Danio rerio: one gene and its partners. The protein of the gene in region 1 purifies or fractionates together with the protein of each later gene. This does not show direct contact. Links are inferred from orthologs where the notes say so. Each region holds a gene or a part of one and is shown in the gene's direction. Other genes may lie near its edges. The genes, in order: ep300b, smarcc1a, irf1b, foxo3a, cdk1, chd4b and mcm3l.

Region 1 (3,500 bases):
AACTTTTTTTGATCAATATTGACAATCGTGTTCACTCATTAAATACCAATACCTATTTTGTCGCCCAGCCCTATGTACTAAATATAATCAGTAACGCACAGAATTCATTTACAGAATCATTTTAAAACAAACTGGCGTATTAATGCTGTTTTTTTAAGTGAACTCTCAAATCTGTTTTTAAACCAATTCCTTGAACTCAACCATAAACTTACAATCACTTCAGCATTTCTAATGCATTGAGCTATATAGTGAGCTAAAACACTAAAGAAAATGTTTTAAATACTTATTAATGTTGTAAAACAATCAGATTCATCCTTTTATATTCTGTCTTTTTCAGAATCAGATGCCCACTCCACCATCACTATCAGTCCATAGTCCTGTAGCTCAGTCCCAGTCGTCAGTCCCAGTCTCTGGAGCCGCTGCTGGCCCTCAGGGGCCTCCGTCCAACCACCCTCCACCTGCTCCTCAGCCCGGTCTGCACACGCACTGTCCTCCCTTACGCCAAAACTCCCCTTCTCCCGCACGTAGCCTCACCCCTACCCCTGCCCCGCACCAAACACCCCCGCAGTTGCCTGGTAACCAGACCCCTCAGCCCCACACCCCTAATTCATCCACCACTATGGCTCCACCTGCATCACAGCTGCCCCCTATGGCACAGGGGGTGGCCTCCGAAAAATCCAGTCAGTTACAACAGCAGTCGCATGGAGGTGGAGCTACTGGAGGCCCCCAAACAGGGCTGGCGTCATCTGTGCCTTCCCAGAACGCCCACGGGCTTTGTACACACCCACATAGTCCTGTGAGTATCACAATCGAGTGTGTTTTCATTTGACCCTGTTTATTTGGTAAATAACAAGAAAGTACAACTCAAGCCCAACATTAGAGACTTAATTGATTTCCGATAACACATACTGACCCTTTTGACACGGAGTCCTGAAGCATAAAGTATTAGCGAGACCAACAGCATTAATTCAAATTGGATAAAGAAAGTGAGCATGTTTCACTGTGAAGAGGTCAAATATTTGAGTTCAGTATAAGTCGACCCATGTGCTTGAATGCTTGTGGTATAACTTAACTCCACCATTAATCTCTTATGTGCTTTGTTTACACTAGTTGGCTATAATTAAATGATTTAAGAGCATGAACTCAGTGAGTAAGCGCTAAAGCATTTTGAGCTCATTTAAGTTGATTCTTCAACCTGATTTCACTGGAAAATTGGCTATTTTATATTTTGGTTAATCCTTGGCTAGTTAGAATTGAATGCATATAATATTATTATTATTATTATTATTATTATTATTATTATTATTATTATTATTATTATTTAAAATATAATTTTTAAAATTGTATGAAAGTGTCAGACTTTTGATTTTTTTTGTATGTTATATAAATTCATACAATATTCTCAGTACATCAAATTACTAATTGCCCTGAGATTGTGTTGGATTCTTTGCTCTCTTAAACCTTTTTAAATGTGCAAAAGGGAATATTCTATAAGTAAAAGCACTATATATATATAGAGAAACTTTACATTTTTAAAACCCTAAAACTTTTAAAGACAGACCTTATGTTGTGTAATGTTGTATGACCTTATTCTGTTGAAGCCTTTTCTGCATTTTACACTTTATTTTACAAATTTCAAATGGTTTAATTTTGGAATCTGTGGTGAACACTACATTATCTATGATGCTTTATAAAATATTCAGCCATTAAAATCTCTTTTTAGTTTTGGCTATTTGAGAGGTTGTTTTTTGGCCAATGGCTGTTTTCCACTATTTTTTTCTTCAGCTCCTATGCTACTGTTTTGTTAGTCATTCCTTCTGACTTTAATTTACTATTACCTGTTTGTTAACGACGACAAAACATGCCAAAATGATGCAGTTAGCATCACCCTGATTCATTGGCAAAAATCCAGATTTTTTTTTTCAAATTCCTTTTTGGATTATTGCAGAAAATAAAATCTTACTCATTTTGTTAACAGCTATGACAGAAGAATGAATTAATGAATGAAGCCTAAATACAACTGGCAGAAGAAGCTGAATTTAAAAGAACTTGCGAATCAGTTAATCAATGATCAAGCAGAGATGAGAATCAAGATAATAAAGAAAAGTATTTTCTTTCTTTCATAATTGAGTTTTGAAATTTTGAAAATTAATATTTGTATCTATTTCTCAATGAATAGAGGCTATCTATTTTGGTGCATTTAAACAAAACACATTTAATAAACAGATATATATATTAAAATAATGTTTTAGTCACCAAACATATTTAGAAATTGATAGACAATACAATTAAATTCAAGCAAAATATTGCAAAAAATATTCAATCTACAAAATTTTAACTTAATTTTTATTTATTTTTTTGCTTTTCTTGATTTTTCCTTTTTTTTAGATTTGTATTTAATTTCTTTCTATAACATATAAATTTGGGTGTACTAGTTTTTGGCTATTTTTGGTTATTTCTTTAGATAAGCTCCAGCTTTTTGCTTCAGTACTGACTAATCTAATGTATATGCTCAAATATAATATTGTAGAGCTCTCTATTAAACAGAATTTGAATTGAAATTGATTTGTCAGGGGTGTACTTATATATGCTGAGCACTGTATATAAATAATAAATTGGTTATATTTTATAATTAATGTTTTTATTTTTATTTGTTGGATAGTTTTTACCACAAATGTTTGTTTGTTTATTTGGCAGGGACAGTGTACATTAATAAGCATTCCTGCAAATGCACCAGAATTAGCCAGAAGGCTATTTTTCATCTGATGTCACTGAACAACTTAAAAAAACAATACAAGAATTATACAATAAATCAAACATTGTTAAAAAGTACTAAAATAGACAAAGTTATGTAGATAATAATAAAAAATGAATATTTACAAATTAAACTAAAACACCAAAATAAATCACTTAAATTATAATTTTTTGTACCTTTATTTAAAAAAGGCCACAAAAAAAAAAAAAATATATATATATATATATATAATTATTATTACATTTTCAGCTATTTTTCTTAGAAACAGCTGGTTTGTTTTGGCTGTTGCCTTTCATTTCGGTGTGCCATTGCTTTTTGTCCTGATCTGCTGTTCTGATGTGGTACCACCCCTCAGCTCTCTCAGAAATCATCTGCGACTGTGGACGGTCAGGCCTCGACTCCTGCCTCAGTCAGCAGTGCTGACCCTAGTTCACAACTGACATCATCCGAACCCACAGCCCCTCTTGACTCCAAAACTGAGGTCAAACAGCAGGATGAAGAGGAAGAGAATGAGAATGAGACTGAGGACAAGGCCTCAGGGAAAATGGCCGCCATGCAGACCGAGATCAAGTCTGAGGAGAAACCAGAGGTGAGCGAGGGAAAGAGCTTTTACATGTTAAAACTGATTCTTTCTTTTCCAGCTTAATTTCTATCCCATCCCTAACCCTAAGGCTAAATTATACTTCTGTTTGAGTGATTGCTATAACCCACAGTGCATGCCTTGAGTGTAGTCATGCATTTATAC
Region 2 (3,500 bases), on another chromosome or scaffold:
GAGTTTAACAGTCAACTATATTAATGACAACTTTGAAATGAAAAGTCGATGTTTACAAACAGCATTCTTCCCAGAATATCACACTGAAGAAAATATTTCTGAAGGTTTAAAAAAAGCTTTAGCATTATGGGGACTTTGTGAAGAGCAACACTTGACTATCACCTCATTTATTATATGTTGTCTGTTTTAAAGACAATTTTACTACAGTTTTGTTTATTTAACCTAATACTATATTATTTCATTGTGAAATGTTTTGTTATGCACTTATTGTGCAATGAATACATTTAGAATGTGTGTATGTAGCTTGTTTGAAAACTCAAAAACAGTTGCCGCAATCGCAATAATCGTTGAAAAAATATCGCAGTTTTATTGTTTTGTCTATATTGCACAACCTTAGTCACAACTGACCAATCAGAATCAAGTGTTTCAGAGTGTTGTGTGATTAAACAAGACATCAGATATGGCACATTGAAAGTCAAACATTTTTGCTCAACAAATAAGTAATGAGGTTTATTTTTGCAAAAAAACATTTGAACTTTTAATCGATCTGGCTATTTTTCTTATTTATTGTCTCACAAATAGATTGGTGGAATGGATCATCAAAATGGATATGCTATATTTATTGTGGTATCTTCACATAAATATTGATCATCATTTATAGTATAATTTTATATGACATGAGGGCAAGTATCTGGCAGTATTTTCATTTTTACCCTTTAATGTGTTCTTGGTCACACATTAAACAGCAGAACTTATTGGATGGCTGTTATAGAGCTATAATGCATACAAATGGTGCAATTTCTTTAATAAATGTATATAGTTATTGATTATGTATTTGTTGCTATCATTCAAGGCAAAGAGCTTTCTGGACTTCAAACCTGGAGGAGCCCTTTGCCACATTTTGGGATCTGCATACAAATTCAAAAGCGAGCAGGGCTGGTGAGTTGAACCTCAGGAAGGGTTGACTTGATTGTTGTCATGTTCACAAACCTAGTATGCTTAAAATTGCTTTGTCTGTATTTTCTCAGGAGGAGGTTTGATCTTCAGAACCCATCCAGAATGGATAGAAATGTGGAGATGTTCATGACTATTGAAAAGACTCTTGTTCAGGTAGAGATTCTTGTGCATGCGTCAAGTGGTGTGTTGATGCCTGTCAGGTTTGGTTCTCGGCTCTGCTTGCCCTGGTATTGGCATTTATTTTATGACTGTAAACAGTGCTATTCAAACCCTGGCTTGCAGACCAAGACCCCTGGAAATCTGGGGCTTATTTCTAAAACTGAGATCAGTTGTATATCTTATTTTTGAATTGGACCAAAAGATTTAAAAGAGCCAAACTAACACCTTAATATATATAAAAACAAAAAAAAAGTTCTTTCATTTTTTTTTTTTTATACAAATGGTCTACATAATTCTGAATATATTACATTCATGGTTTTCTACATGTTGTATTTTTCTTTTGTCCTGCAGAACAACTCTTTGACCAGACCTATTGTGTACATTGTGTCTGACGTTGAGCAGAAGCAAGCCAACAAGCTTAAAGACATCATTAAGAGACATCAGGTAAAAAAATAAATAAATGGTAATGATTGAAAAGGCTTTTTTGAATTCGTATGGTGTTTCTGATGTTTTACCTGTCTCATCTAGGGAACCATCACTGAAGACAAGTCAAAGGCCACTCATATTATTTATCCCTCCCCAACCCAGATGGAGGAAGGTTGGTTTTGGTTGTTATAGTATCTGAACTTGGTCATTTTTCTTCAGTCATTTATAATTGATGTTTTTCGTAAACTGAATTTGTGAATCCTGCTTTTCAGAGGAATGGCTGCGTCCTGTTATGCGCAAAGACAAGCAAGTGCTTGTTCACTGGGGATATTACCCTGACAGGTTTGTAGTACTGCAAAGCATAATGATGCTTTAGGTTTAAAAGAATAATTCACCCCAAAATAAAGTATTTCGCACATTTCTGTGGTTAGTTTTATCCATGTTTTTGAAATGCATAAATAATGCTTAATGAAAATTGCATGAGCTCAATTTTGTGCCTAAAACATATATTCTCAAATGCAATAAGAAACTCAGAAGGAAGCTTTACAAACAGTGCGCCAGTTTTAATGCACACAAATGTAAATGTTGTTTTAAATATCAAAGTCTTGCATCAAAATGAATCTGTTAAATTACCGTCTCACAACATTGTCCAAACATCAGACATCCTGCTATCATGCCACCTTTCTCATAAAAGAAACAGTTTTGGGATGAAAATTGTGCTTGTGAGTTGTTGCAAATGCAAAATTCCAATTTGTTAGTTTGTATAAAAACAAAGCTTTTGCCCGTACTGTTGACCATGATAAAGAAAAATTGTTTATTGACATTAAAGTTGACTTTTCTTCTTCTTGTAGTTACGATATATGGGTGTCAACAAGTGATGTGGATGCAGATGTTGAGGATCCTCCAAGTTCTGAGAAGCCATGGCGGGTAAGAGAACCTATACATGCTTTGTTAGTCTATAAAGTAGTTTAAACTCTCTTCAGATGCCTTACATCAGTGGTTCTCAAACCTTTTTCATCAAGTACCACCTCAGAAAAAATATTCTCTCCAAGTACCACCATAATGAATAGTATTGAAATACAGTAGCGAAGTGGGCCCAATAAAGCAGCTACAGCTCATCACAGTTAAAAAATGTGGCACATTTATTCCTATTATTAAGAATATTTATTATTATCAGCCACTTTAAACATTATAAAGAGTCTGAACATTAACACTGCACTGTGCTTATATGTAAAAAACAAATAAATAAATAAATAAATAAACTAAAAACGTCAACATTTAAATTTAATTGTGCTTTTAGAGGTTACAAATGGTAGGTTCTGTACTTAAACACCTGGAAACATTGCCTGGACCTAAGAAATATACGCTATATGTCATCCATTCATATATAAATTATTTTTGATAAATTTTGAAATATATGTAACATGTACATGTATGACATAATTGATTCCTATGCGTACCACTAGAAGGATATCCGCGTACCACTAGTGGTACACGTACCACAGTTTGAGAACCACTGCCTTACATTATGAAACGTATTTGCATTGTAAGTGATGCCACAAGGCTGATTTATACTCGATGCATCCGCTAGTTCATTTTAGTGTGTGCACGGTTGTGATGTCATCACGGTATTTGCAGAGGATGCCTGTGGGTGCGTGCTTCATGCTTTTGCTGGCGGAGCGCATGCAACTTTTTGAGACACAGAGCGTGTTTCATTTGAGTTGAATATGAATCACTTTAAAGGGATTTTGGTTTGCCTGTACAGACATCGTTATGATCATCCATGCATGATCATAGGGATAACCAAATGGGCAATAGTTCCTGGCTAGAAATTGCAAGTTTTTGTAAAAAAGTTTAGAAAAACTTGTGGGATGAGTTCGTTGAAGCCAAGGGGCTGTGACAAAAGTGGGGACCCAGGTTGTTTTAATACACAATTACAGATGTTTTTTTTTTTTCCA
Region 3 (3,973 bases), on another chromosome or scaffold:
ATGTATAATTTGTGAATAATATATGTATGATATAATGATATGATGTACAAACATTCAAATGAATGAATGAACGTTCACACAAACATGCTTGTAAATGAATGAATTAATGGACAAACACAAAGTTAATCATACATGCATACAAACAAAACAAACAAATATACATGTGAATGCATGATGAATGAATGAATGAAAGAATGAATGAATGAATGAATGAATGAATGAATGAAAGAATGAATGAATGAATGAATGAATGAATGAATGAATGAATGAAAGAATGAATGAATGAATGAATGAATGAATGAATGAAATCCACTCGCAGTTCTGGACGGTTTTGAGGCCTGTGAGAAATACACATCTCGAAACCTAACATACCACAGAGCAGCACACACACATATCCAGCAGCTCCGTCATGACCCTCCTGAGCACGCTTCTGGCTGTCAGGCTTCCAGCACGGTTTCTTTGAAACGGAGACTCTTACAGGAAGCAGAGCCGGAGCAGCGGCGCCCTCTGTCGGCAGACTCTGCAACATTTCCCGGAAACCGACTGACTTCTGCAGACTGAACCCCGACCCGCTGCACTTTATACCGGCTCCATAACGAGACACTCACACACTGAACAGTGCAGAATTAACCTGCTGTCTGAATCATGATAGCACTCACAGAGTGACAGAGCCACTACACACACACAGCTCTAATACATCAACTTCACACACTGTTGGAGATTCCCCAGTACTGGGTTGCAGCTGGAAGGGCATCAACATGTGCTGGAAAAGTTGGCGGTTCATTCCGCTGTGGTGACCCCTGATTAATAAGGGAATTAAGCTGAAATGAATGAGTGGATGAACAGTGCTGTAGAAGTGTAACTGATGATTGTGAGGTTGTGTTTGGGATAATCGCATATGTGTGTGTCGCGTGGGCGTGTGTGCAGTATGCTGCTGTGGTATGCTGAGGGTGTGTGTGTGTGTGTGTGAGAGAGTGTTTATCCAAACTGAATTGTCTTCCGCACGTAGTCCGTCTCTCTCTTATACAGCATGATTTCTCGGAAATCAGCCTCGCTGTGTGGAGCGCTGCCTGTGTGCGCATGCGCCTGCTAGAGCAGGGAAAATTCCCCGCGCCGTCTTCGGCTCTATATATACAGCAGCAGCAGCAGAGCCCTGCTCACAGTACAGTTAACCTGAACTTCAGCACAGTCACTTCAGCTGTTCTTCTCACTGAGGACTTACTCACGCCTTCACACGGCCAACTCTCGCTGCGCTCTGCACTGTAGGATTTACCCTCGCTCTATTGGTGAGTGTTGTGATTATGCCTGATGTGTTCTTATATGCTGTATATGATGCTGGGTATTTATTTCACTTCAATTCCATGAAATATGGACAAGCTCGAAAGTTGGGTTAAATTTGGTCATATGCATTTAATTAACTCAGTTTACATTTAGTTTGGAATTGAGTTGAAATAATCAAGTGTGTGTGTGGATAATGTGCAGATTTCTGTTCATCCTGCCCTCTGAGGACTCTCAGTTCTGTCTGTCAGTGATGAATGCATGTTAAATGGACATTTCTGAACTCTTGTTTAGCAGAGCAGCGCGTTTCCTGCTGCTTTTACAGATTAATTGTAAATGTTTTTATTTTTTATGAATGCAGATGTACTCTTAATGTTTAATATAGTTATTTTACAAATATGAACTTACTCTTAATGTCTATTTTTAATTTGATATGTTTTATTGAAAGGAAACACACTTTACATACAATACAAAAGAAACATGACCGTTTCCTTCTGTCTGTGTTCTCTTATTCTTCTTTATCATCATTTTCCACAAATGCAGAATTAATCTTAATGTTTCTCTTTTACACGCACACATATTCAGACTTTTAAATACAAATGCAAAAGTATTCCTAAAGTTAATTTTCTTTTAACAAATGCACAATAACTCAGAGTGTCTCGTGGTGAGGTGTGAGCTAAACACACTCTTCAGCGCTGTGCGCGCCCACAGACACGCCTCCTCATCTGCGCATGTGCAGCTCCGCTAATCCTACACTTGTCTCTGTGCTGCAGAAGTCATGCCCGTGTCCAGAATGCGCATGCGCCCCTGGCTGGAGAGCAGGATCGACTCCAACACCATCAATGGACTCATGTGGGTCAACAAGGTAAAGCCGAGCGCTGCACACACTCATCAGAAGCCACTGTTCCAGCATCAGCAGAGCTTTACAGATGTGTGTGTGTGTGTGTTTGCAGGAGGAGAAGATGTTCTCCATCCCCTGGAAACACGCAGCTCGGCACGGCTGGGAGGTGGATAAAGATGCCTGTCTGTTCAAGCAGTGGGCCATTCACACAGGTGAGAGAGCTGTCAATCATCTATACCTGTGACACTGCTGTCAGTGTTTCCTTCACTGCAACTAACACTTACATAGAGTCTAAATATCTGAACATTCTGAAAGCAAGAAGCGTTTTCTAGAGAAGCAACAGATATGTAGTGTTGTTGAGTCGGCATGTGCAGTGTTGAGTGTTGTAAAGACCTCTAGTAAAGCTCTACTGAGTGCACTATACAGTAGCAGTGGATGTGACCGTAGTGCTGTTCATTTCAGGTAAATATAAGGAGGGAGTGACTCAGCCTGACCCCAAAACCTGGAAAGCCAATTTCCGCTGTGCAATGAACTCGCTTCCGGATATCGAGGAGGTGAAGGATAAAAGCATCAACAAGGGCTGCGGGGCGGTGAGAGTTTACCGCATGCTCCCCGCCGTCAGCAAGAAGATCAAGAGATCCAAGAGCCGAGACTCCCGCCGGCGGATGAAGGTGAGCGCAGCGCATTATTATAATAATCACAACACATATGTCAGGTATAGCACCTCAAGCATCCCATTTCTGGGATTTTTGTCCAAATAATTTTGGTGTAAATCAAATTTTTTATTATCAGATTTTTATAATTTTGGTGTAAATTAATTTTTTTATTATCAAATTATTATAATTTTAGTGTAAATCAAATTTTTTATTATCAAATTATTATAATTTTAGTGTAAATAAAAATTTTTATTATCAAATTTTTTAAATTTTGGTGAAAATCAAATTTATTATTATTTTTTTTAATAATAAATATCTATTAATGTGTTTATATTAGACATTTTTATGTTTTTTTTTATGTTTTTGGTAAATGTGTAAATGTCTTGAACTTTTCAGATTAAACAAACAATTTTAAAAAATCTAAATAAAGTCACTTATGACAAAAAAATGTCCTTAAAGATGCCAGCAACCAATCAAAACAGAGAAAAACAAACATAAACATATATAAAGCAGAGTCAGAGCATGTCAAATAATCAGACCAAATCAGGTGTGTGTGTGTGTTTAAACTGAAGATCTGAACATGCGCGTGTGTGTGTGTGTGTGTGTGTTATTATTCAGAGTCTGTCTCAGAAAGTAAAGCTGGAGGACATGAGCAGTGAGGACACGTCTGCAGAAATGACCCAGGAGAACACCATCGACAGCACTCAGAGCACACCACGTAAGTGTGTTCAGACCCACAGCAGCAGAGGACGCTTCCCTCATCTGTGTTAAAGGGGACAGTTCACTCTGAGATATGCAAACGTGCAGACTGAGCGGTGAAGCTGGAGTCTGATGTTCTCATGTCTTCTCCTGCAGACACTTCCAGTCCTACTGTTGGGTATGAGGTGGAGATCGGCCCTGACAGCACATGCAACGACATCTACTCTCGATTCCAGGTGTCTCCAGTGCACTCCACAGGTAATCACACACACACACACACACACACACACACACACACACACACACACACACACACACACACACAAACACACACACACACACACACACACACACACACACACACACACACACACACACAGTACTCTTCTCCATGATGACAGCACATAATATTAGACTAGATATTCTTCAAGACACTAGTGTTCAGCTTACAGTGACATGTAAAGGCTTCACTAGGGTAATTAGGGTAAAGTTAGGGTAA
Region 4 (4,181 bases), on another chromosome or scaffold:
ATTATTATTATTATTATTATTATTAAGTAGGATATTGTTTATTTATTTTTTGAAAAGTCTACTTTTACAATTTGACATGTAAACTATTGCAGATAGTTCTAACTAGCAGGCTCATGTCATATACAGTACAGATACCTAATAAATAAGCTACTATAAACTAAAAGCATTAAAGTATGCTGTGTTTTTGTTTTCACAAGCTTTGGTGCCGTAACAAAAATTCCGCTTTTAAATAATATGTCACCTATAGCTTTCGTCATGAGGCTGTGTTCAAAATGACATCAATGTTTTCAAAGTGCACTACGAAGTGAGCGCAATTGTAAACATGAAGATCACTAAAACTGAACTTTAAAAATACTTTGAAGGCAAATTACACCTAAGAGAGATGACCTTAATGCTTTTTTTATTTTTAATAATTCGAACTTTGAATTTTAGAGTGTTCTAAACGAATAGGGCATAGGGGGGATAAGTGGGAATAGAATACAGCCAGGAACTATGTTTCTAACTACAGCTCCAGAGGTGTAGTCGCAAGTGCTCAAGTTTGCATCGCAGTTTGTGAATGTTTGTTGGAGCCATGGATTTGGGAAACGGCAATTTAACGAACTATGTTTGTATCGACGGAACTTGCGAACTTAGTTGGCTAACGATAGTTTTGGGAAATGCACCCCAGTTTAAAAATATCATAATTACAAAGTAAAAGTAAATAGAGACCTTCAAACTGTGAGAAAATGCATTGAGGAATAATATTTCATATAGAAGTTGTTGTTGTTTTTTAATTGCTTGATCCAGTTAATTTTGAAGGTATACTTAAGAGTGGTCAAATCTAAGAAGTTTAAACCTCCATTTTCAATTGTTCATAACTACCGATTTCCTTATATAATTGGGTTTATTTTTTTTTTATAAAACATTAAAAAGCATATTATCAATAGTTTTGGAAATATTATTGTTGACTGCTAAAGAAAGAGGTGTATACATAAGTCTTGAGATTTCCTTTGCTTTTGTTATAAGCTCTCTCCCTCTCAAAGATAGGTCTCATAATAACCAATGATTTCGTGTTGTCTTTGTCTTATCAATAATAATGAAGAAATTTCTCACAAATTCTCTTTTCCTCATTTACAATCTTTATACCCAAACATGTGATTTCATCTTTTATAGGCATACCACAAACAAGATAAATCACAATCCTCAAGAGGCATATAATGATGATGGCATATGTGTAATGTGTGTAACGTTAGATGACGTGTGTGGCAGTTCTGCGTGGCCCTTTAAGAAGCAGTTCCTCCGACCGCTTCCAGGGGGCGGGTGTTCTGTGTGTTGCTGTTCCTCTCTGTAGTTTTGCAGCGGAGATGCAGCGCATTACAGGCTTTGCCAGTGCTGGATCGCCCGGGCTGCGGGACGCGACGTCCTGCTCCGACATGGAACAGGGATCATCATGGAGGTTTATCGGGATGAACGGTGTGTCTATTAGGACTTATCAGTGCTGATTTGCGGAGGGGCGGCTTGTGGAGGTATGGCTTGATCATTCGAGGACACTTTCGCGAACGCACAGTTTTTCTGATCGCATTCGATTCAAAAGATTTCCCAGAACGGAAGCCGCGTTCTGAAACAATGTAACGTTCGCATTATGATGTAATGATACAATGTAACGAATTCGCTGCGCGACGTCATGCAACATTATAACAAATTCGAACGTCCGCTCTGCCTTTATGTGTTCGAACAACGGAAGCTTCATTAGACGTTAAATATCCGCGCGATTCACACACGGATGAACCAACAATGCCCTCGAACGCGTTTGTAAACATTCCCAATCATCTCAAGACTTCGATTAAATCCTCAAAGCGTCCCGTATTGAAATGCGGACTCCAGAAGTGATCCATTAATGGCATGCACGAGGGCACTGCTGCTGTTGTGTTCCGAAAAGCCGTCCATACATCATTCATTTGAAGGAGTCGAGGAAATATGGCAGAGGAGCTAGATAAGCCTTTGGCTGTGGACGTCGACATAGACCCTGATTTTGAGCCCCAAAAAAGGCCCAGGTCTTGCACATGGCCTCTGCCCAGACCCGAGTCCAATTCGGGCAAAGCAGAACCTTCAGATGTGGGGATCATTCCTGAAGAAGAGGTAGATGAAAATGGCACTGATGATGCTTGTGCATCTGGTGACATTACAGGCGCATCAAAGCCTGCCAGTGTCACAGAAGGAGACCCGAGTTCTGCTGCTGCTCTTCCTGCCATAGAAACGAACGCTTCTGCCAATGATAAAGACATCTATGGCTCTCCTGGATCTTCCCAACACGCTCTAGCAGCATGCAGCGACTCCAGCATCAATGGTCTGATTCCTCAGCAGCCCAGAAAATCCTCTGCCCGCAGGAACGCCTGGGGAAACTATTCCTACGCCGACCTCATCACCCAAGCCATCGAGAGCTCGCCAGAGAAGAGGCTGACACTGGCCCAGATTTATGATTGGATGGTCCGAAATGTGCCATACTTCAAGGACAAAGGTGACAGCAACAGCTCTGCAGGATGGAAGGTACGTCAGGTCAAATGTTTTAACCTTGGCTTCCTTTTAACCCTTTATCAGACAGAAAACTCCTTTGATATCATATTGATTGCAAGTAACTGAAGTCCAAATTAATTTTTGAAATATTTAATTCCTTTAGAATTTCATGAGATGTATCTCCCCAGGATATCTTGACTGTTTAAGGCAGTGTTTCTCAACCATGTTCCTGGAGGACCACCAGCTCTGCCTATTTTCCCTGTCTCCTTAACCAAACACACCTGATTTAGATCATCAGTTTATTAGCAGAGACTGAAAGACCTGTAATGGGTGTGACAAGGGAGACCTCCAAAACATGCAGTGTTGGTGGTCCTCCAGGAACATGGTTGAGGGTGTTAAAAGAGGGACTAAGTCATTATTATTATTGCTTTTCTTTTCTTAAAAATGAGATTCTGACTTCCCAGCTTATTTTAAAAGCTGCCAAGCATATTTAATTAATAATTTTAAACAGATTTCCTTCAAAGTATTAATTATAATTTTTCCACCACAATTACAAGTAGCAAAAAACATATTTTTTAACCCTACAAAAGCAAAGACCGTAAAGGATTCATCAGATAATTAACCTATGACTTTTGTCCATTTTATTATAACACAAAAATACAACTTTTTTTTTTTTTAATCAAAACATGACCTAAATTTGATTGTAATGTTTGTATCCCCCCCAATACATTGCCTATTTTATGGTTAACATGCTGTATTTATGTTCTAAATATTAATTTATTGCTTGTTTTCTCTCTTTGGCATCATAAAAAAAATTGTAGGGTGGTCTGATGATGAAAACGTAGACCACTTGTCATGTAATGTGTGGTTTGCTGATAAACTTCATACCGCTGTGCTCATGCCAAAGGGTGTATCAGCAGATAAATAAAGAAAGGTGCCACTGATAAAGAAGACCTTTAAAATGGCCCCTGCTTGCCTCTTCATTTCCTAGTATTGAGGTTTGATCATTTGAGGTTTTTCATCAATAAAACCAATACAATCGCACCATTTTCTCTTTTTATTATGACATTTGAAACCCACCAGTGTGCAAGTCTCTTTTTCTCTCATCCCTGCTTGATTTCAGGGATTAGTTTGGCCTGGAAAAGCAATTTACCCAACATGGAATCAAGTCTAATGAATACTCCTAGTGTAGCTGGATTTGAGTTAGAGAATAACCCCGGGAAATCCCTGCAGATGTGAAGCTATTGAGCTGCTGTTGTGCAGATGTTGTCACATTTAAGCATGATTTGCCACCTTAATAAACAATCTCTGTGCATCAAGAGTTCTTGATTAGTGGGTTTTGAGTTACATATTTGCTCTTTTTAAGTTGTTTATACATATTTAAGATGCAATTTTGTATGCAAAAATTCTGATAGGCAGTGCATATTAGCAACACATAGATAAAAGCAACATTTAAAAACAAAATATGTGTTTAAATACTTTTATATTTGCTTTAAAAAACAAAACATCTTTAGATATGTTTGCAAATCGAACAGTCATCCGTGCTCGGTGCAGATAAAGCCGTCCTGCAGAGTGTTTGCATCTGCCTGCCACTGAATGAGGGAAAAAAAGAGAAACCATGGGCATATCGTGAGTGTCAGGGCTGCTATTGGCTGTTCGGTCCCCACCTCCACTTCCCATTGGCTCTA
Region 5 (4,119 bases), on another chromosome or scaffold:
TTTACACTGAGACGGTAACATTTTCAAAAATATTTTCATGTCCCCAAAACAAGATTGGTATGTAACGATGTTCAGTAATAATAATTTTTAAAAAGTTAAACAGTGTAAAAAGGTTCAAATCAATATTTCTATTTATTATTTATGTGGTAAGACGCTGTGTCATAAAATTGACGCAATCTGACGGTCATTATCATAAAACAAATCTTAACATGGTGATAAAAATACCAGGGTCTAAAACAGAATAATGACCACATCCCTTATAACACAGAATACTAGCATTCTTTAAAAATATTGATTAAAAAAAACACCCAAAATTAGTTTGACCTCCTCTATCCCAATTCCTACAGCCAATCAGAGTGGCTCAAATATGCATGGTAATAATTTGTAACTAATCACTTCTTTAATTAAAGTCTCTACCTCTGAGAATTTAGGATGGAATTGAGATTTTATCCCGGGGACTAAGCCTCCTTTATTTCTCTGTAATTAGACAGCCTAGTTATGCTTCATTGGGCTTCTGAGAGCTTCTTTTAAATGGTTCTGTTGGGGGGAAATAAACTTTATTAAAAATTGTTTTTTTACTTTGTGACCCCACATCAAATCTTTCTGAAATCAAACCATGTAAACTAGAATACTACTACTAATAATAATAATAATAATAATAGTCCAATTATAAAAGCTAATAAGTAGCTTTTCTACACAATATTTTACACGTGTCTCCCTCTCTGTCTTTTTATATAATATACATATAACAAATAAAAACGTAAATATAAATTAGCATCTGTTGGAGATCTGGTTAAATAATACTGAAAAGAACAGTCCAACAGTGACACCAAGTCGTCAAAAAGAGTAATGCATGCGTGCTCGTCTGTGTACCACTCAAAATCAATATGTGACCATTGTATGAGACTCACAATATAATAATTACATTATTTGTTTGTTGTTTGTCGTTACAAATGTAGGACATTTAAGACACAAGACTGCAGCAACGAACGCAATGAACTAGAATGTCGGTTTTAGGGTAACTAAAGGACGTTAGAGATGTTTCGTCTGAACACCCACTACCAGTGATATACAGCAACAAGTGTCTGTCAAAAACGTAAAAATCGCTATTCCTACCTGCACAAGGACTACTTTGAACTAAATATACAACAAGCCGCGCATGCGCACATTATCCAACACAGACGCCGCTTTCCTCCCGCTCCCAACCGCTCTATCATCTGATTGGTTGATTTTGAAGTCCCACTGAGTGCGCTGATTGGCTGCTTTTGAATTACGTCCACGCGGCCAGTTTGAATCAAGGAACTCGCAATTCAGCAGGACACACACACACAACATCCGCAAGCTTTTTCATTCCTCTAAAATTTCGAGAACTCTGTTGGACGTAGGACAGTTTGATATTCATCCATATTAGATATAGTTACAGAAAAGGTGAGTTTTTAAAAATCCATGATGATGATTGACTGTTATGTTAACGATTTTGATTCTGATCGCGTAACATTAAGTTGTTTGGGCCCAACTGAGCAAAAACTACTTAGTCATTTAACTGTAAGTTGATACTGTAAACTTTACTGAATGATGTTTTTGTTTATGTAATTTTAACGTTGCAAATGTACGTCCTAAATAAAACAGACGGTTGATCATTGGATTTTAGCACTAGTTTCTGCTGCATCTTGATTTTCCGTTGCCACATTGCTAAGTTACTTATTTTTCTCATGAAAACGTGTCTGACGTTACGAGGTTTTTAGGCACAAAATTATGACTTTGGAATTATGAAAAAGGATTTTATCTAATGGTTGTGATTTTGATGTCAACGCCAAAAGCTAAGACCTGTTCAGTCAGTCTTTTAACGGTACACATAATGTGTATATTTGACATCCACTGTAACTTTGATTGCTTTAGATAGTTAGTTTAAAGCAAAAACGAACAAGTTTAATGAAGAAAATAAAGAGAAAAGTTTCATTATGCATCCAGACTTTTTTTCCTCTTTCTAAAAATAAAAAAAAAATGATTCTGAAAATGTCATGTTATGCTGTCATTAATTTACTTTTTTTATTCTTTGTGTTTTTTCAAAAAAGAGTGTTTGGGGAAAATGGATGACTATCTGAAGATAGAGAAAATTGGTGAAGGTAAGATTTATCTTGTGCTTATTGTCATTTACATTAGCTACTATTATTCTTAGCTAGTCTCTAAATAATAAAACTGAGAGTGTTTTTAGTGAATGTCTAATGTAAATATGTGTGTGTTCTTTAGGTACGTATGGTGTAGTATATAAGGGCAGGAATAAAACCACAGGACAGGTGGTGGCGATGAAGAAGATCCGTCTGGAGAGTGAGGAGGAAGGCGTTCCCAGCACTGCTGTCAGAGAAATCTCCCTCCTCAAGGAGCTCCAGCACCCAAACGTTGTACGGTATGACAGATTTCATTACATGTTTAACAAAACAAATAATTTAGAGTCAATCAGATTTACTGTACAGAAAGTGCTGTTTGTATGCCTGTCTCTGTGGTGGTGGGTTAAAGACGGGTTGGTCTAATACAGCTTTATATTTTACTCTCTATCCATTGGAATGTGTTTGGTTTAATATATTTGTCCTGAACAATAAAAATAGTTATGACAGGATAATTGATGTCATCACCCACAACAAAGTAATATATTTTAACAATATTTAATATACCTCGCAAAAAAAATTGATCAGCATATTGTTATATCAGGAATTGTGTGATGACATTAAAATGCTGTTAAGGGTTCACAGTTTAAAAATGTATGTAGGTTGATAAACTACTACTCAAATTTGGGTGCTGTTTTTAATGCTTACCAATGCTTTGTTAATTTGATTAAAAACTATTGTGAAGTCTTACCACAGATTAATGTCTGTTATAAATGATGAATTTTCAGCATTATTACTACAGTCTTCAGTCTCATTATTCCTCAGAAATCAATCTAACATACCATTATTACTCCAGTCTTCAGTCTCAGTGCTTCAGAAATCATCCTAATAAGTTGATTTAGTTTACATTTATGTATATTACTAGTATCATAGTATAAACAGTTTTTGTTTTTCATATTTACTATGACAGTATATGTACTATTTTTACAAATAAAGTGTTTCTCTTTTTCCCAGCCTGCTAGATGTGCTGATGCAGGAATCCAAATTATATCTAGTTTTTGAGTTTCTGTCCATGGATCTGAAGAAATATTTGGACTCCATCCCATCAGGCGAATTCATGGATCCTATGTTGGTCAAGGTGTGTATTTTTTTTATTATTTTATATATATATATATATATATATATATATATATATATATATATATATATATATATATATATATATATATATATATTTTTTTTTTTTTTTATTTATTTATTTATTTATTTATTTTTTTTTTTTTTGGTACTGTAAATACAACGATTTTGTTTCATGTGCCTTTCATGCCCCGAAATACATAAATACTACATTCCTCAATGTTTTATAATGGCATGTGTTTGGATTCTATACTATAGTATTGAATGTGTATCTTGAAGTAACCGTGCTGATGTGTGTTGTCTATGTAGAGTTACCTTTATCAGATCCTGGAGGGGATTCTGTTCTGCCACTGTCGCAGGGTTCTGCATCGAGACCTGAAGCCCCAGAACCTGCTTATCGACAATAAAGGTGTAATTAAACTGGCAGATTTCGGCTTAGCCCGTGCCTTTGGGGTCCCAGTAAGAGTCTATACTCATGAGGTAAGTACACACATCCCACAATGGAGGCCACATTTCCATCCGCTATTACATTCACACTTAAAAAAAAATAGACATTTTTGTAATTGAGTAAAGGTGACATAAGTGAAAATTTAACACAAACTATCTTCTGTCAACTATATACTTCATTTATACCCTAAGAAAATCAAAGAAAATACTGAATGTGTATTATAGATGTATTCTTCGAGCTAAACCTATGATTTCTTTAAATTGGAAAAATGGATGTACACCAAATATAGGTTACTGGCTGAAAGAAATGGTTTTAAATACGACAGTAAAAAAGATAACCTATATATTAAAAGATAAATGCAAGGTTTTTGAGGGAGATCTTTCAAATTGTTTAGTTGTACTTTTTTAAATTAACTTTATCATATATTGT
Region 6 (3,500 bases), on another chromosome or scaffold:
CTGCACCTGAGCAGCGTATATTTGAGGGCGCGCAAGATGTTTTGTGGACGAACAGAAATCGGCGCTCAAGCAGAGATTGACATAATCGTAGGCTATTACATGAATGCAATCTCAACTTAAAACTGCGCCCATGACATTTGTCAATGAAATAAAGACACATGTATTGGTAGATCTGTGTAAAATGGCCAACAGAGTCTGCCGCCACAGCTGGAAAAAATCCTAGAGGAAACAATGGAGTACATCAACTCCTCCAGAAATTATACCTGGAAGATGGAGGCTTTCATCGGTGCTTCTGACTGTGCCAAGCCCAGTTTGATGAAGTGTTGTCCGGTGTTAGCAAGAGGATTTCCCCTCGGGACATTAACGACAAGCACTATGTCATAAACATGCCTCTACAAGAGAAGTTCAGATTTTTCCACTCAAGCAATTTGTGCGAAACAATTTACTTAGTATGTAAATCGCGATTGATGCTTCATCCACATCTGATGTGAACGCAGCAATAGGGTGAATTATTTTGTGAATTAATCAGTACTTCATATGCATAAACGTTGTCATGGTGTAGAGGTGAACTTCTGCTTTCAGTTGAGCGTTATTTAGAGGTTTAAACTAAGCATGACACCCTGAGTGTGTATTTTAGTAAGATCAGTTTCACTCTGATGCTTTAGGAGGTTAAAATGGTTTCTGCTAAATATGGATTTGACCATATACATGCATATACATGTATTGACAGTACATAGGAAAGTATAGTACAGCCTTCATTTTTCCCTGTAAATCTGAATTTTACAACCATACAGTACACAAGACACCCTTTAAAATGTAGTTCAGTGTAACATTAGTTTATACAGTGTAGCTACCTGTGATTCAAATTTTAAAACCTTTTTAAATGACATTAAAATACTTGAATCCACTTAGAATACTTAAAATCCAGTAAGTGTTTAAGGATCACAGTGCAGTCCCAAAATATTATGCTCACAGTCAAGCATAATTAAATAGCCATTTTAATAGAGTATTATTTAATAACCATTTTAAATCCTTATAATTTTTTTATCACTAGGTTTTACCCAATTTAAATTGTTTTATCATTTAGAATAAAAAAAAATGTATGTTCTCTCATTTCATTAAATGATTTAAAAGTACAGGTCAGCTTAAGTATGTTGGATTATTTTACATGAATATGATGCTGGAACATTATTTCAACCATATTTTGGCATTGTAGTTTAAAGCAGGTTGAAAATTCAACTGTTTATTGTGCTTTCTATGCATATGAAATCAGTTTTGTGAATGTACTTTGAAGCAGGCATTCATTTGATCCTGGATGGGAAAATGTTAAAGGTAAACATCTGACATATTGGCCTGACTGTGCCAGCCAAAAATTATTATTGTTGAGCCTTGGGCTGAAATAAATAGCATCACCTTCTCTGTGACCTATTTACCACTCACTTTAAATCAGCGCCGTTGTATTTTTATCTACCATATCACTATGTCTTTCCCTCACGGATTTGCGTTAGAAAAGCATTATCAGTTTTTAATACTTATCATTGCCAGTGCATCAAGTATGTATAGCAATAACTAATATGGGAAGTAAATGAGTTGTGTAAGTAAATATAGGAAATCAATGGAAATGGGCACAATACAAGATTGGGACAAAGTAAATCAATTCTAAATTCAATAAATTTCTCCCATCCAGGTGACAATAAAGAAGAAGACAGCAGTGTTATTCACTATGATGACAAGGCGATTGATCGCTTGTTGGATCGAAACCAAGACGCAACGGAGGACACAGAACTGCAGAGTATGAATGAATACTTGAGCTCATTTAAAGTGGCCCAATATGTGGTCAAAGATGAAGATGAGGAGGTGAGTTTGAGTGCGATTCACTGTCTGTGCTTGGTTTGTTTTGGTATTATATATAGTCGAACCAAATTTTATTGAGACATCTTTGACATTTCTCACAATATCACAATTTATTCACCTTAGCTTATAAAATGCTTATAAAATATCAGAATAAGTTTATCTTGATAATGTCAGATAATGGAAAGAAAAGTATGATATGCAATGGATTACAATCAACCAAAACCACAGCGTATAGTTGCACAATTATCAATACATTGTTGGTTTACTTTAGCCTCAATGACATCCTGTAGTCTCCCCTGTCAACCCGATCTTCAATATTTTTTCACTGCTTAAGCTGCTTCACTTTATCCTGGTTTTAAGTTACTTTGAAGAATATTTGGATATAATATGGCATAAATTACTATATTTTTTCATTTACATCACCTATAGTGTGCTTTAGTCCTTCATAATAATAACCGTCTATACTAAATGTGGCAGAATAATTTTTTTGTTTGACTGCATGTGTTATAACATGGTGTATTTCGCAGGAGGAGGATGTGGATAGAGAGATCATTAAGCAGGAGGAGAGTGTAGATCCTGATTACTGGGAGAAACTGCTGCGGCATCATTACGAGCAGCAGCAGGAAGATCTCGCTCGTCATCTGGGCAAAGGCAAACGGCCACGCAAACCTGTTAACTACAATGACTGTTCACAGGAGGACAGAGGTAGTAGACGGGGTACAGACGCACTTTATTTCCTTTTTTACTGCTCTTTCCCTTTATGTTTGTGAGTATGTGCGCGTGTGCTGTGGATAAAGACGAACGTATTGGTGTGATCTCAAGGTCTGGAAGATTTCTTTACTCTTTGTGTGTTGTGTTTTGTCTGTTTATTATTGTTTATTATTTAAATAGATAATAGATAAACTAAAAGTCAAATGTTTGCAGACTTATTCTTAAAATAATGTTCTCATATTCTTTTAAAATTAAATGCGGAAGATATGTTGTATATTAGGCACTAAAATGTAATGTGATAATTTATCTGACATTTCAAAAGTCGATCATTTATCACTTTAATAATTCTTATTTAATTATGCAGTCTTTGTTGAGAATTTTCTTTCAACATTTCACAATAATGTTAAAGTTAGAATTAATGTTAAAGTAATTTGACAGAGACAGATGTTTTAAAGTGTATACTATACCGATAATTACATTATATTGTTTATGATATATTATGCAGTTACACATTGATTATAAATGTTTATATTATATTATATTATATTATATTATATTATATTATATTATATTATATTATATTATATTATATTATATTATATTATATTATATTATATTATATTATATTAACTTATGAAATCAACTCCAGTCTTGTTTAAACATTTGACCTTTCTGTTTTGAGTGTGAGCATGAATCCCAATTGTTTTGTTCCCTTCAAATAAATATTTCCTCTGCAAGTCAACCCAAATACTCATAAATATTTTGTCCCACTCATTTGGATTCTCAGACTGGCAGGATGATCAGTCTGATAACCAATCAGATTACTCTGTGGCTTCAGAAGAGGGTGATGAGGACTTTGATGAACGATCTGAAGGTAAGAAACAAATTGAAACCATTATTTTTGTTAATAAAAGTTTGTCGTACATGTATACATT
Region 7 (3,500 bases), on another chromosome or scaffold:
TATGACTGGTTTTCTGGTCCAGGGACACATACTGTACATAGCCCGGCTGTTAACTAACCCTTAAGCCCAACCTGCTCTGGTTAGACTCATTTTTACAAGTCATACACTCGAAATACGAAATAAAGGTACAAGATATTATATTTATTTATTTATTTATTTATTTATTTTTGAGTTAAAATCCAATTCAATGGTCTATGCGAGGCTAAAAGGTAACAAAACTGACTAAATGAATTCAAAAATAATAAAGCTCAGCTGTTTAACTCTACACTCTCAGAAATAAAGGTACAAGAGCTGTCACTGGGAAAGTACCTTTACAAAAGATACATATTTGTACCTGAAAAGTCCATATTAGTACTTCAAAGGTACATTTTAGGTGCATTTGGGTACTGATATGTATCTTTGAGGTACCACAAAGGCTGCTTTAGGTACAAATATGTAAAGGTACTTTCCCAATGATAGCTCTTGTACCTTTATTTCTTGAGAGTGTAGAGTTAAACAGCTGAGCTTTATTATTTTTTTAATTCATTCAGTCAGTCTGGATATATATATATATATATATATATATATATATATATATATATATATATATATATATATATATATATATATATATATATATATATATATATATATATATATATATATATATATATATATATATATATATATATATATATATATATATATAAAGAATCGACTTGCGTGTTGTAAAACCAACAGAAAATAAGAAGTTGCTATTTTCTAGGTCAATGTGGCTAAAAACTATACTCTCAATCCAGCATAATAATCAAGGAACTTTGATTCAATACCATGCCTGAAGCAAACACAATATTACATAGTGCTTGAAAATAGTCCACAGCTAACTAGGTAACAGCCCTGCATAATATTATTGTAAGTGCAGCAGCCACAATACACAATGTAACTCAAGAATAGAATAAGTAGAGTCAAGTGTATAATTGGAAAATTATCAAAACACTTTTTTTTATTATTTGAGTGAGATTCTAATGGTCTAATCTGATTCAATGATCTATGCTAAGCTAAAAATGCTCCTGCCAGACCTGGAGATCCGCTGAATGGATTTTTAAAAATTTTTTACAGGAGTTGTAAAATGAGCCTATTTCCAAAAAAGTGCAGTGTTTCTTTTTTAATTTAGCATGATGCAAGGAAGCTGAGAATGAATTTGTGCCTGTTCTCCTCTGGCTGTTGCAGGTGAGCGCCGTCTGGAGGCAGGAGCTATGGTGCTTGCTGACAGAGGTGTGGTTTGCATTGATGAGTTTGATAAGATGTCAGACATGGACCGAACCGCCATCCATGAAGTGATGGAGCAGGGCAGGGTCACCATTTCCAAAGCTGGGATTCAGGCAAGGCTGAACGCTCGCTGCAGTGTGTTAGCTGCTGCTAATCCAGTGTACGGAAGGGTAAATATTGATTGGTGGCTTGACTGGTATAAGTACTTTCTATTAAGAATTGAGAATTTAATATTCTGTTAATTCTAATGTGTTCAATTGGGTTAATTTATCAAGTATGACCAGTATAAGACCCCCATGGAGAACATCGGGCTCCAGGATTCCTTGCTTTCCAGATTTGATCTGCTCTTCATAGTTCTGGATCAGATGGATCCTGACAGTGATAAGGAGATCTCTGAGCATGTGTTGCGTATGCATCGCTACAGAGCACCGGGAGAAGCAGAGGGAACAGGTGAGACTGACCTCTGCTGGACAAAACACAACCACCTCTAGAGATGAGTGGAGATAAGTGCTAGAAGCTTGTTGTTGTTTGGCATAAGTTCAATTGCTTGTAAAGAACAATTATGGTGGAATTACAAGCTGATAACTTTGATAGGTTTTTTTTCTCTCTCAGAATTGACAATTTCAAGTTTACATTTTAAGTTGTTTTTTTTTTTTTTTGCATTTCTGAATTTTCTTTTTTTCTTGTAAGCTATTACTTTGTAATCGAGTTTGTAACTTGCAATTTTGTGCTAACATTTTATAAATATGGAATTTTCCTTTTTTTTTTTTGACTCCAGTTGAGTATACACCCCCCACCCCTTTAGAATTGCAAGTTACATTTATCACCATTTTAATTTTATTTGGTTTTTACAGTTCTGAGAAGAGAAGTCGTAATTATGGGGTGGAAAAACACTAATCAAAGGATTTTTTTTTTTACTACTTTATTCAAATGTAGCGTTCACCAGTATAGAATAAATGTAAAAACACAACCTTTTTATTTATTTTTATATATATATATATATATATATATATATATATATATATATATATATATATATATATATATATATATATATATATATTTATTTATTTATTTATTTATTTATTTATTTATTTATTTATTTATTTATTTATTTATTTATTTATTTATTTATTTGCTTCATTTTTGTGGTACAGTAAAAGTGATCTACTACTACCATTGAACAGTTTGGCATACGATTTTAAATTTTTTATTATTTAAAAAAGAAATAATTACTTCTATTCATAAAGAATGCATTCATTGTTTAAAACTATTGTTAAATATGAATATTTCAAATATGTAGTGATCTTTTGGACCTTCCATTCTTCAAAAAATCTTGCAAAAAATGTCAGTTTCCACAAAAAATTTCAAGTAGGAATAGTAGTTTTCTACATTCAGAACTGAAAATTAATTCAACTTGACAATTAAGAAGGACAAAAGTGTGTATTACAACTGGTTTGTGATATTTAAGACCGGAGAAAGTATGTTACAAATTCAGCTTTGGAATCACAAAATGAAATGTTGTTTTAAATAGTATTGTGTCTGCACAAACAGCAATGCCGCTGGGAAGTACAGTGGACGTGTTCGCCACAGAAGACCCAAACATCACAGAAGCATCTGAGCAGGAGTTGCAGATCTATGAGAAAAAAGACAATGTCCTGCATGGCCACAGGAAGAAAAGGTATGCTTCTCTTCATCTAGTTATAAATGGTCTTTGTTCCCTTAGAAAAAAAGTTGCGTAGCATGAGTGAGTTTCTGTGATAATCCTTTTGAAAAGGGAGAAGATTGTTACAATGGAGTTCATCAGGAAGTACATCCACGTGGCCAAGCTGGTGAAGCCAGTGTTGACTCAGGAGGCATCAGACTATATAGCGGAGGAATATTCTAGACTCCGGAGCCACGACCAAGTCAACAGTGACTCTGCAAGGGTCTGTAATGTCCACTTATGTATAACCTTTGGTTTATGCTTGACTTTTGGGGCACTTTTATGTTGTAAAATCGACTTTGTATAGAAGAGTAAGTCTTTAAATCTACATATTGACACTTTTGGGTACTAGCAAAGCAAATATGGACATTAGAGTAACATATACTGTAATTATTTTAAAAACAATTATTTTATAACATAAAATAATTATTGCAAATTTTACAGAAACATTACATGCAGTTTTAGATAATTTTTATGCGAACCCACTATTTATTATTATTTTTTTTTTTAACAAATCTTTTAAAGATCATTTGCACCACTGCATCCA

Evidence for each region.
Region 2: the proteins of ep300b (region 1) and smarcc1a purify together in Homo sapiens (affinity purification with mass spectrometry; 3 studies listed by BioGRID, with this or other methods). This does not show direct contact. The link is inferred for Danio rerio from reciprocal best matches to the Homo sapiens genes EP300 and SMARCC1.
Region 3: the proteins of ep300b (region 1) and irf1b purify together in Homo sapiens (affinity purification with western blotting; 3 studies listed by BioGRID). This does not show direct contact. The link is inferred for Danio rerio from reciprocal best matches to the Homo sapiens genes EP300 and IRF1.
Region 4: the proteins of ep300b (region 1) and foxo3a purify together in Homo sapiens (affinity purification with western blotting; 3 studies listed by BioGRID and IntAct, with this or other methods). This does not show direct contact. The link is inferred for Danio rerio from reciprocal best matches to the Homo sapiens genes EP300 and FOXO3.
Region 5: the proteins of ep300b (region 1) and cdk1 purify together in Homo sapiens (affinity purification with mass spectrometry; 3 studies listed by BioGRID, with this or other methods). This does not show direct contact. The link is inferred for Danio rerio from reciprocal best matches to the Homo sapiens genes EP300 and CDK1.
Region 6: the proteins of ep300b (region 1) and chd4b purify together in Homo sapiens (affinity purification with western blotting; 4 studies listed by BioGRID, with this or other methods). This does not show direct contact. The link is inferred for Danio rerio from reciprocal best matches to the Homo sapiens genes EP300 and CHD4.
Region 7: the proteins of ep300b (region 1) and mcm3l purify together in Homo sapiens (affinity purification with mass spectrometry; 3 studies listed by BioGRID and IntAct, with this or other methods). This does not show direct contact. The link is inferred for Danio rerio from reciprocal best matches to the Homo sapiens genes EP300 and MCM3.

What each region holds. Positions count from the first base shown.
Region 1 is NC_133178.1:23,768,361-23,771,860, reverse strand, and holds part of ep300b (histone acetyltransferase p300), read left to right. Parts: intron 1-337; coding exon 338-796; intron 797-3,110; coding exon 3,111-3,344; intron 3,345-3,500. UniProt on the Homo sapiens protein: Functions as a histone acetyltransferase and regulates transcription via chromatin remodeling. Acetylates all four core histones in nucleosomes. Histone acetylation gives an epigenetic tag for transcriptional activation.
Region 2 is NC_133191.1:46,881,464-46,884,963, reverse strand, and holds part of smarcc1a (SWI/SNF complex subunit SMARCC1), read left to right. Parts: intron 1-853; coding exon 854-939; intron 940-1,028; coding exon 1,029-1,110; intron 1,111-1,467; coding exon 1,468-1,560; intron 1,561-1,644; coding exon 1,645-1,714; intron 1,715-1,814; coding exon 1,815-1,884; intron 1,885-2,393; coding exon 2,394-2,469; intron 2,470-3,500. UniProt on the Homo sapiens protein: Involved in transcriptional activation and repression of select genes by chromatin remodeling (alteration of DNA-nucleosome topology).
Region 3 is NC_133196.1:49,886,135-49,890,107, forward strand, and holds the start of irf1b (interferon regulatory factor 1b), read left to right. Parts: upstream 1-1,173; 5' UTR 1,174-1,286; intron 1,287-2,051; 5' UTR 2,052-2,056; coding exon 2,057-2,143; intron 2,144-2,231; coding exon 2,232-2,331; intron 2,332-2,581; coding exon 2,582-2,790; intron 2,791-3,393; coding exon 3,394-3,493; intron 3,494-3,630; coding exon 3,631-3,732; intron 3,733-3,973. UniProt on the Homo sapiens protein: Transcriptional regulator which displays a remarkable functional diversity in the regulation of cellular responses.
Region 4 is NC_133192.1:7,929,738-7,933,918, forward strand, and holds the start of foxo3a (forkhead box protein O3a), read left to right. Parts: upstream 1-1,381; 5' UTR 1,382-1,956; coding exon 1,957-2,526; intron 2,527-4,181. UniProt on the Homo sapiens protein: Transcriptional activator that recognizes and binds to the DNA sequence 5'-[AG]TAAA[TC]A-3' and regulates different processes, such as apoptosis and autophagy.
Region 5 is NC_133192.1:22,200,037-22,204,155, forward strand, and holds the start of cdk1 (cyclin-dependent kinase 1), read left to right. Parts: upstream 1-1,319; 5' UTR 1,320-1,428; intron 1,429-2,075; 5' UTR 2,076-2,089; coding exon 2,090-2,126; intron 2,127-2,250; coding exon 2,251-2,407; intron 2,408-3,119; coding exon 3,120-3,243; intron 3,244-3,551; coding exon 3,552-3,722; intron 3,723-4,119. UniProt on the Homo sapiens protein: Plays a key role in the control of the eukaryotic cell cycle by modulating the centrosome cycle as well as mitotic onset; promotes G2-M transition via association with multiple interphase cyclins.
Region 6 is NC_133191.1:34,963,533-34,967,032, reverse strand, and holds part of chd4b (chromodomain-helicase-DNA-binding protein 4), read left to right. Parts: intron 1-1,687; coding exon 1,688-1,857; intron 1,858-2,381; coding exon 2,382-2,571; intron 2,572-3,352; coding exon 3,353-3,439; intron 3,440-3,500. UniProt on the Homo sapiens protein: ATP-dependent chromatin-remodeling factor that binds and distorts nucleosomal DNA. Acts as a component of the histone deacetylase NuRD complex which participates in the remodeling of chromatin.
Region 7 is NC_133195.1:6,678,002-6,681,501, reverse strand, and holds part of mcm3l (MCM3 minichromosome maintenance deficient 3 (S. cerevisiae), like), read left to right. Parts: intron 1-1,209; coding exon 1,210-1,418; intron 1,419-1,523; coding exon 1,524-1,698; intron 1,699-2,802; coding exon 2,803-2,929; intron 2,930-3,025; coding exon 3,026-3,176; intron 3,177-3,500. UniProt on the Homo sapiens protein: Acts as a component of the MCM2-7 complex (MCM complex) which is the replicative helicase essential for 'once per cell cycle' DNA replication initiation and elongation in eukaryotic cells.